Mus musculus: one gene and its partner. The protein of the gene in region 1 purifies or fractionates together with the protein of each later gene. This does not show direct contact. Links are inferred from orthologs where the notes say so. Each region holds a gene or a part of one and is shown in the gene's direction. Other genes may lie near its edges. The genes, in order: Nphp1 and Nphp4.

Evidence for each region.
Region 2: the proteins of Nphp1 (region 1) and Nphp4 purify together in Homo sapiens (co-immunoprecipitation; 6 studies listed by BioGRID and IntAct, with this or other methods). This does not show direct contact. The link is inferred for Mus musculus from reciprocal best matches to the Homo sapiens genes NPHP1 and NPHP4.

The regions. Positions count from the first base shown.
Region 1 is NC_000068.7:127,778,696-127,782,708, reverse strand, and holds part of Nphp1 (nephrocystin-1), read left to right. Parts: intron 1-2,572; coding exon 2,573-2,646; intron 2,647-3,544; coding exon 3,545-3,605; intron 3,606-4,013. UniProt on the Homo sapiens protein: Together with BCAR1 it may play a role in the control of epithelial cell polarity. Involved in the organization of apical junctions in kidney cells together with NPHP4 and RPGRIP1L/NPHP8. Does not seem to be strictly required for ciliogenesis.
Region 2 is NC_000070.6:152,476,529-152,480,537, forward strand, and holds the start of Nphp4 (nephrocystin-4), read left to right. Parts: upstream 1-1,209; 5' UTR 1,210-1,391; intron 1,392-1,434; exon of another isoform or gene 1,435-1,911; intron 1,912-1,928; exon of another isoform or gene 1,929-4,009. UniProt on the Homo sapiens protein: Involved in the organization of apical junctions; the function is proposed to implicate a NPHP1-4-8 module. Does not seem to be strictly required for ciliogenesis. Required for building functional cilia.

The DNA.
Region 1 (4,013 bases):
TGGAGTGGATGAGGAACAAAAGCAGAAACGGGTCAATAGCCAGTCACCTAGAGCATCCTCAAAATGACCAAACACACCTGCGAAACAAGTGTCCCTAGCTGTCACAGTGCCAGGGTTGAGAATCCACAGGGCCATGGGAGGTTCTCAGAGTTTTGGGCTGATCTAGCAGTTCTCTCAGCCATAGAAAGTCTCCCAAGCCTAGAAACTTGACCAAGCAGGTCTCAAGAGACAGAAGAAAGCTCCAGTGAGCTCCCAGACCTAACTAGGTGCCTCCGAAATAGGTTGAGGTGATGACCTTGGCCCAGGATTTTTCTATGTTGCATGCATGTTCTGGTCTAATGCAGCATGGCTTCCCACCTAGGTTATACTGTGTCAGGGTGAGACAGAACAGTGAGAGAAAGGAGAGAGAGAAAGGAGAGAGAAGAGAAGTGGGGAGGGGGGAGGAGGGGAGAGGGAGAGAAGAGAAGAGAAGAGAAGAGAAGAGAAGAGAAGAGAAGAGAAGAGAAGAGAAGAGAAGAGAGAGTGTTGTGTCAGGGTCAGAGAGTCTTAGTCAGGGTTTCTATTCCTGCACAAACATCATGACCAAGAAGCAGTTGGGGAGGAAAGGGTTTATTCAGCTTACACTTCCATACTGCTGTTCATCACCAAGGAAGTCAGGACTGGAACTCAAGCAGGTCAGGAAGCAGGAGCTGATGCAGAGGCCATGGAGGGATGTTCTTTACTGGCTTGCTTCCCCTGGCTTGCTCAGCCTGCTCTCTTATAGAACCAAGACTACCAGCCCAGGGATGGCATCACCCACAATGGGCTCTCCCTTCTTGATCACTAATTAAGAAAATGCCTTTCAGCTAGATCTCATGGAGTCATTTCCTCAAATGAAGCTCCTTTCTCTGTGATAACTCCAGTTTGTGTCAAGTTGACACACAAAACCAGCCAGTACAGCAGGGAAACTTATCATTTATTGTTTTCAGGATTTTTTTGATCTGGAGACAGATTGGCTCAGGAGCTCTCTTTTTTATTTCTTAATTATCCTTTCCCTTTCCTTCCAGATCCTCACATGTGCTACTGCCACTCCCTCCTCCAGCCCAGCCCCACTCTCTTTCCTTGCCTCTTATTCTTTAATCATTGTTGTTGGTGTGTGTGTTTTCCTAAATATATAAATACAGCCTGCTCCTGCTCCGTCTGTATAACGTTACTCTCACGTATGTTTTCAGGGCTGACCATTTGCTTGGTTAACCATTTGGTGTGCTCTTCCCTGGGGAAGGCTATTTCCCCTGCTCTCAGCCTTCCTTAGTTGTCCACATTTCTCTGTTTAGGCCAGTCTCTAAGCTCTATCTCTTTCACACTAGCATGTCTATTGGTGACTCCAGGTTGTTCAAGTCTTGTTTGGGCAGCTGTATTAGTGAGACTCTTATCAGTTTAGCTTCTCTCAAATTTCTAGGATACATAATCTCACAGCAAGCTTCCTGTTCCTTGGCTCTTACAATCTTTCCATCCTCTTTTCCACAGAGATGCCTGAGTCTTAGGTGCAGTTTTGTTGTAAATGTATCATCTGGGACTGGGCTCCACAACTCTGCCACTTTGATCTGTTGTGGTTTCCTGTAATTGTCCATTGTAAAGAAAGTCTCCTTGATGAGGCGTGAGGAGCCCTTTAATGCCATATCTGGAAAGGTAATGGTGATACTATTAGCTAGTTTTGCCAGTGTCCATATCTGAAGATATTCATGTTGGCATCTGTGGACCAAGGAATCGTCTTTCACTTGGGCCTTGGATGGATGGCTCTGCCCTGGGGGTGAATTTTAATAGCATTTTTGTGGACACCAAACTGCAAGAGTGAAGAGGAAGCTGGTGAGAGTTGACCTCTCCTCTCCCTCACACTGCCTTTTCCGCACTCTCTATAGAGAAGCCATAGAATGTCTGCCTCTAAGGGAGCTTAACAGAGGTAAGGAGAGTGCCCATAAAACACTAGTCAAAGGAAAGTCCTGGCACATCTGTAGTGAAGAATAAGCCAAGCCACACAGGATGAAATCCCTCAGAAGCATGGGGCACAGGAGAGCTTACACAGTCGTGCCAGCCAGCTCCCTTCAGTCCCCGTGAGTGGGAAAAACTCACTTGTAGTGGAAAAAATGAGCTGGTTTTATCTCAGGAGAATTGGAGTAAGGATTTATTAGGAAGGGAGTAAAGTCATTTGTGGGGCAGTTTCCTACATCTTGGTAAGGTTCGGGGTTATGAAGAGAATCCGTCTGTTAAAGTACAGTAAACGTGCGCCTCAGGGTTGTACAGATGCACCTGGGACCTTAACAGAGTGCTCTAGCTTGTGAAGCCAATGGTGTATGATTTGAGGGAATACACTTACTGATGGTTTTTGTGGGGAAAAAGACCTGGATAGATAAACAGGCATTATAAGATGCTAATGGTAGGATCCAGGTGTAGTATTTACTGTAAAATTCCACTTTATTGTATGCTCATGTTCAAAACTGTTTATTATATATTGTGGGAAAATTAGTAAAGTTCTATTTTCTCAAGGCAACATGGCAGTTTATACAGTGTTTTAAACTGTCTCCGTCTGTTGTAGGTTGATAGTTTGGTGACTGAAAGCCAACTAACAGGTGCTCTGGAACCGAGTAAAAGGAGAGAGATTTACCAAAGGTAAGTATGCGGTCCGCCCGCCCGCCCATCCAGGGCTTGTTCAGCGGGTGCTATTTAAATGTTGTACAGCAAGTTTCCCCCGCCCCCTCTTGCTTGCTCACTCTCTCACTCTCACCCTCTCCATCTTCATCTTACTCTTTTCCTTTCCCCCAAAATGAAATAGTAATGGAGAGTAATGTGGAAGGATCAGTGAGTAAATGTCTCCATAATGTGTTTAAAACACCACTTTCTACCCAGTCCAATCGGAAGGAGAGCGAGAGCAGAGCCCTGCAGGGGACGGGGACAGGGACGGAGACAGGGACAGGGACGGACAGGAGCCTGCTCTCAGTTTGTTCTCTGTGCTAAGACTCGTGCCTGTACTCTGCAAACTTTGTCTTCATCTTCACAATAACACTGTGAGATGCCTGCTGACATAAACGAGACAATCAAATTAGACATTAAAGCGGGAAGACGACACAAATGTTTTAGGGCAGCTGAGAAATCTGAGTTCTCTGAAGGGAGAGCGGGCGCTTAGCTGCAGTCTGTGGTGATGAGGCTAGAAGTTCCCTGTAGATGTAGCACAGATCTAGAAGAAAGCACACTGCACCGGACAGTTGTGGACTTGCTGTTTTCATGACAGCAACTGTAAACCCTGCTCGGGGTCAACCTCCCTGGCTGAGGCAGAATCACCCTAGCGTCTTGACCAGCAGAGCCCAGATTTGAAGACCTGGTCACAAATCTCTAAAAGCCATTTGTCCCTGCTCAGGATAGTCACTTTTCAGCTGTCTTCATGTGACCAACTGTTCTCTAGGTGAACAATTAGCCTTACCACTCAAGAAACTGTGGATGATTTGATAAAAAGTAGTGCCTAGTTCTGACAATAGAGAACTGACCTATACTTTATCTTTTCAAAATTTAGATGTATCCAGTTAAAACAGGCAGTAGATGAAAATAAAAACACCCTTCAAAAATTAAACAAAGTAAGTATGATGAATCACCAAAATCTCCATTGACACAAATGCTTTTCGTGGGGATGATTTTCAGCCGCCAAGAGCCTGGGTTTGCATCAGGGGTGATGTCCAGCCACAGCCGGCTGTGGATTGCTGTTTCAATTTGCTATGATAAACGCCATGACGAAAAGCAACTTCAAGGAGGAAAGTTACTTCGCTTACAGAACACAGTCATCACCAAGGAAAGCCAGGCAGGAGCTCAAGGCAGAAGCCTAGAGACCAAAACTGAAGCAAACCCCACAAGAGCTGCTGCTCATCGTCAGCTCTCAGGCTCACATCCAGCTGCCTGCCTTCTCCACAGGCCCACCTGCCTAGGGCTGGGCCTCTGAGATAATTAACAGTCACGAAAATGTCCCACAGGCATGCCAACAGGCCAGT
Region 2 (4,009 bases), on another chromosome or scaffold:
AGCCCCGTAGGCAGGCAGCAAGGGGTGCTGGAAGGCTTCCCACTTGGAGCACCCCAGGGTGCCCCAGGCATGCTGCGGGAGACCCCAGGACAAATGCCAGGAGAAGCAAGCAGGGTACGTCAGTCAGGAGGGAGGGCAGGTGGGCAGGTACATCTTGCTGCAGATACTGCAGCAGGCAGCAGTGCAGCAGCGGAGCGCGCTCTGCATCCTGCAGCAGAAGCAGCAGCAGGTAGGGAAGTGGGGAAGTGCTTAGTGCCAGGGCCTGGGCACAGGGGGAGAAGCTGAGGATGAGGGTAGAGGTGAAGAGACAGGGACAGCGGGGGGGGAACCAGGTACAGCTGCAACGGGTGTCAAGGTGCCGGGGAGCACCGCAAAATAGACTGCGGTGCGGTGCGGTAGTGGTGGCAGGCATGGAAGGGGCCCGAGAGCAGAATGGGTGGGAAGCTGGGTCAAGGCGAGAGGGACACAGGGCAGGTAGCAAGGACGAAGGATGCGTCTGGAGGAGCAACAAGGAGGGAGATGAAAGAAGACAGCTACTAAGGGGCGCTTAGAGGCTGAGAGAGGATGGGAAGCAGGGAGGCAAGGGCGAGGCGAGGATGCAGGGCTGGAAGGGGTAGAGAGCCAGGGATTGAAGTTTGGGGTAGGGGTCCGGGATGTCGACCGAAAGGTGGGGTTAGAATGACAGGGAAGCAGAGAGGGTGGGGTGGGGGCAGGGAGACTGTGGAGAAGGAGATGAGGAGGTTGGAGAGGAGGTGAGAACGACAGCGGGGGCAGGGATGAGGGGCCAGGGAAGAGGAGATTGGAAGGGGACCGCGGTGGCCGCGACAGCGCAGCCTCGCAGGTGCCCGCCGGGGTCTCCCGGCTGCACTCACCTGGGGGCCTCCAGCTCCGGATCCCACGCCCCGTTCCGGATCTTCCTTCCTGCCCTGCCCTTGCGACTTTAGCACCCCCGAATCCCGCTCGCTCCGGCAGGTTCCGCCCGCAGCATCTTTACCTCGTGGGACTCCCTCGGCCACGCCCCTAGCAGCCTATTATTGGCTATGCTTCACGCCAGTCACAGTCTCATTGGCAATGGCCAAGGCAGTCCATGCAAATCATGCAGCTCCCGCCGATGCGTGGATTGGCGGGCGCGCGCAGAGTCAGAATCCTTGGACTCGGGTTCTCATTGGCCGCGCGGCCTTGACGCAAAAGTGACGTGGGGCGGGTTCTGTGCTGAGTGAGCGGTATCCCTCAGGCCCGGGCTCCACGCGTGGGTGGCGGTGGATTGGGTGACCCCCTCGGTCAGCACTGGACCCACGACTCCTCGGGTTCCGCTGGGCACCGGCAGCCCGATCGCTGGATCCACGGTGCGGGACGTGTTCGGTAGCGTGGATCCGGTGCCCGTCTCCTAGGTAACGCGCCAGCAAGGACTGAACCAAGTGCGGGGGAAGTCAGCGTGTGTTGGAGTCGCGGGTGGCAGCAGAGCCTCGAAGAGGCCTCAGGGTCCTGGGTGGGGCTGCATATTGATTCTTACGGACAACCTGGGGTTTGCAAGGCACCGCACGGGGCACAGGACCGGGCCTGACTTGCGTGGGTTGCATCTTCTCCCCCTCGCATCGCCATTGGTGCATCCCGGTTGCCAGCTGATGTTGGGCTGCTGGGTCTTCTTCAGTTAGTTCTCTGCCTTCTGAGCCGGTGCGCGCTGCGGTCCGGGGTCGAAATGGATACTGTACGCTCGCCAGAGCCTTGAAGATGCCCACCGTCTGGTGTGCCCGCCTCTATCCCAGCCTTAGGCCATGCAACTCGCTCAGATCCCTGCGACCCTCGATGCACTGTGAGGCCCCTGGCTCAGTCCATGTCCAGCCACTGGGGCGCAGGGTTGGCCTTCTCCACTGCTTGGAATTCCAACCCACACTGCTGTCCGGATTCTCAGTATGTCTAGTCCTGCCTTGTTAGGGGGAGATGCTCTCGCGGCTCACGTGGAAGTTTGCATTGAAGTTGGCTTTGTGGGTTTAGGGAATGGGCAAGTTTTCTCTGTCCCAATCCTGGTCTCATTGCAGCTCAGCCATACAGTGCCCACGCGCCGTAATTCTGCCTTGTGTTCCAAACTGCCCTAGCTCTATCTCGCTCTGGTGTTTGTATCCAGGCATCTGCGAGACTGTCCACTTTGGTAAAGACCATGTCTTTAGTTCCATAGCAGAGGGTTGAATGAGGGCATCCCTTAATCAGACTCTCAGGTCAGCTCTCCATCATAACCCCACCCCTAGATTGGGTAAATCTCAGGTCTTCATTTCTGGGGACGAGGCTTCACTGAGCTTGGCACCACAATTTGTGGAATTTCAGCCTCTCTGGGTCATCTGACCGTCCTTCCGTGTGGATCTGACCTGTCGCTCCCCTTCCCCACTACCAAATGTGTCTTGGTTATGATCCATACTGTGCGATGCACCCTCCCCCCACACCACACCAATTAGTGTTGTTGTTGGCGATGACATTTTGCCTCTGGAATACATCAGGTGTTGGCAAACCTTTACTGAGTAGGCCTGTAGAAACGAAGAATCTAAGACTCCATCAAGGCTCTAGTCTGGCCAATTGGAAGCAGGCAGGGGAGGTGAGGATCTGCATAGAAGCTGAGACAGAATTGGCCTCATCGTTGGGCATCTCCAGCAGGACTCGCTCACTGCCCTCTTCTAGACATCCCCTGGCTTCCTGAGTGGGAGGAGGACTGTGGCACGGGTGTAGGCTAGTCAGTATCAGCTGTGAACTCCCCTGTCTGAGCCAGTCTCCACGTATGTAAGGTGGGAGGTACTGACGCTGCCTCATCCCTCTGCCTTGCTAAAAACTGTTAGATTGCTTTCCTAAAGCTAGCCCCCAAGGGCCATTCCCTTACTTGCCCGCTTCTTCCCGAGGCTGACCACCAAGGTTCAGCTTTCAAAGTATTTGAACTTCAGTAATTAAAAGCCCCCTTTGGCTCACCTGATGAATACACCCAATTAAAATTAAAATTGAACACCTCATCCTAACACAGAGTTTCCCATTTTTCCTTTATAAACCGCCATTTTTCCTCTGGGCCATGTCTGTCTTCTCTCTATCCAGAGGCAGTCCTTTGTCCTTGGGGACAAATACCCCTCTTCCCTCTCTCTTGTTCCCTTCCCCTTCTCCCTCATCCTCCATCTCCTGTCTTTGTGTCTTGTTCCCCCACTCCCTGTTCAGCTGAGGCAAATACATCTCCTTTGTGCTGAGGACGTGGTCCTGGGGTCCCGAGCCGATACTGATCTCTTACACTTACGTCTTCAGTAAACTGGTTAAAGAGACAGATAGTCATGAAAAGTGGAGAAAGATTTATTCAGTGTGGCCATATTGGGAGGAGGAAGATAAACGGGTCCCTCTTAGGCATAAACAGGTCAGAGAGGATGTAAACTAAGCAGTCCTGGCCAGGGCATGGTCCAGTCCATCACTCAACCATCCTTGTCTCTGCTCTCCTCTCTCCACCAAGATGGCCTGAAAAGGCACGGTGTCTGTTCTCTTTCCAGAGGCAAGTTCCTCCTCTGTCTCTCCCCGCTGCCTGGGATTCCTGGGGAAATTTTACTTCTTTAGGGTTACAAAGTATCTCTTTAGACTATCCTTTCTGCCAGAGTGGTCTTAATTCTTTCTGTTGCGGACTGAGTCTCGCCAAGGACTAATGCTGACTCAGGGAGTTCAGAGTCTCCCAGGGGTGCATTGACTGTTTCTATAGAGGGCGCGAGTGTGGGGTGGGGGAGGAGCTGGTGGGGAGGGGAGGGTGGTCCTCAGGTCTCCTGTATGAACCTGACAGGCAGTAAGTAGAGTCAGCGAGGGTCAGGCAGACCCTGGAGGGCATGCTGGTGCATGAGTGCTTTTCAAGGCTTGTGGGGTGAGGAAGTTGATCTGAGGAGGGCCAGGGGCTGTGTGAGGGCTTGTGTCTGGAGGGCCCTCCTCACCAGTAATGCTTACCATGGTCTCAGGTACCAGGTTCTGGACGAGTCTGTGCCCATTTCGTCTGGAGAGCAGTGAG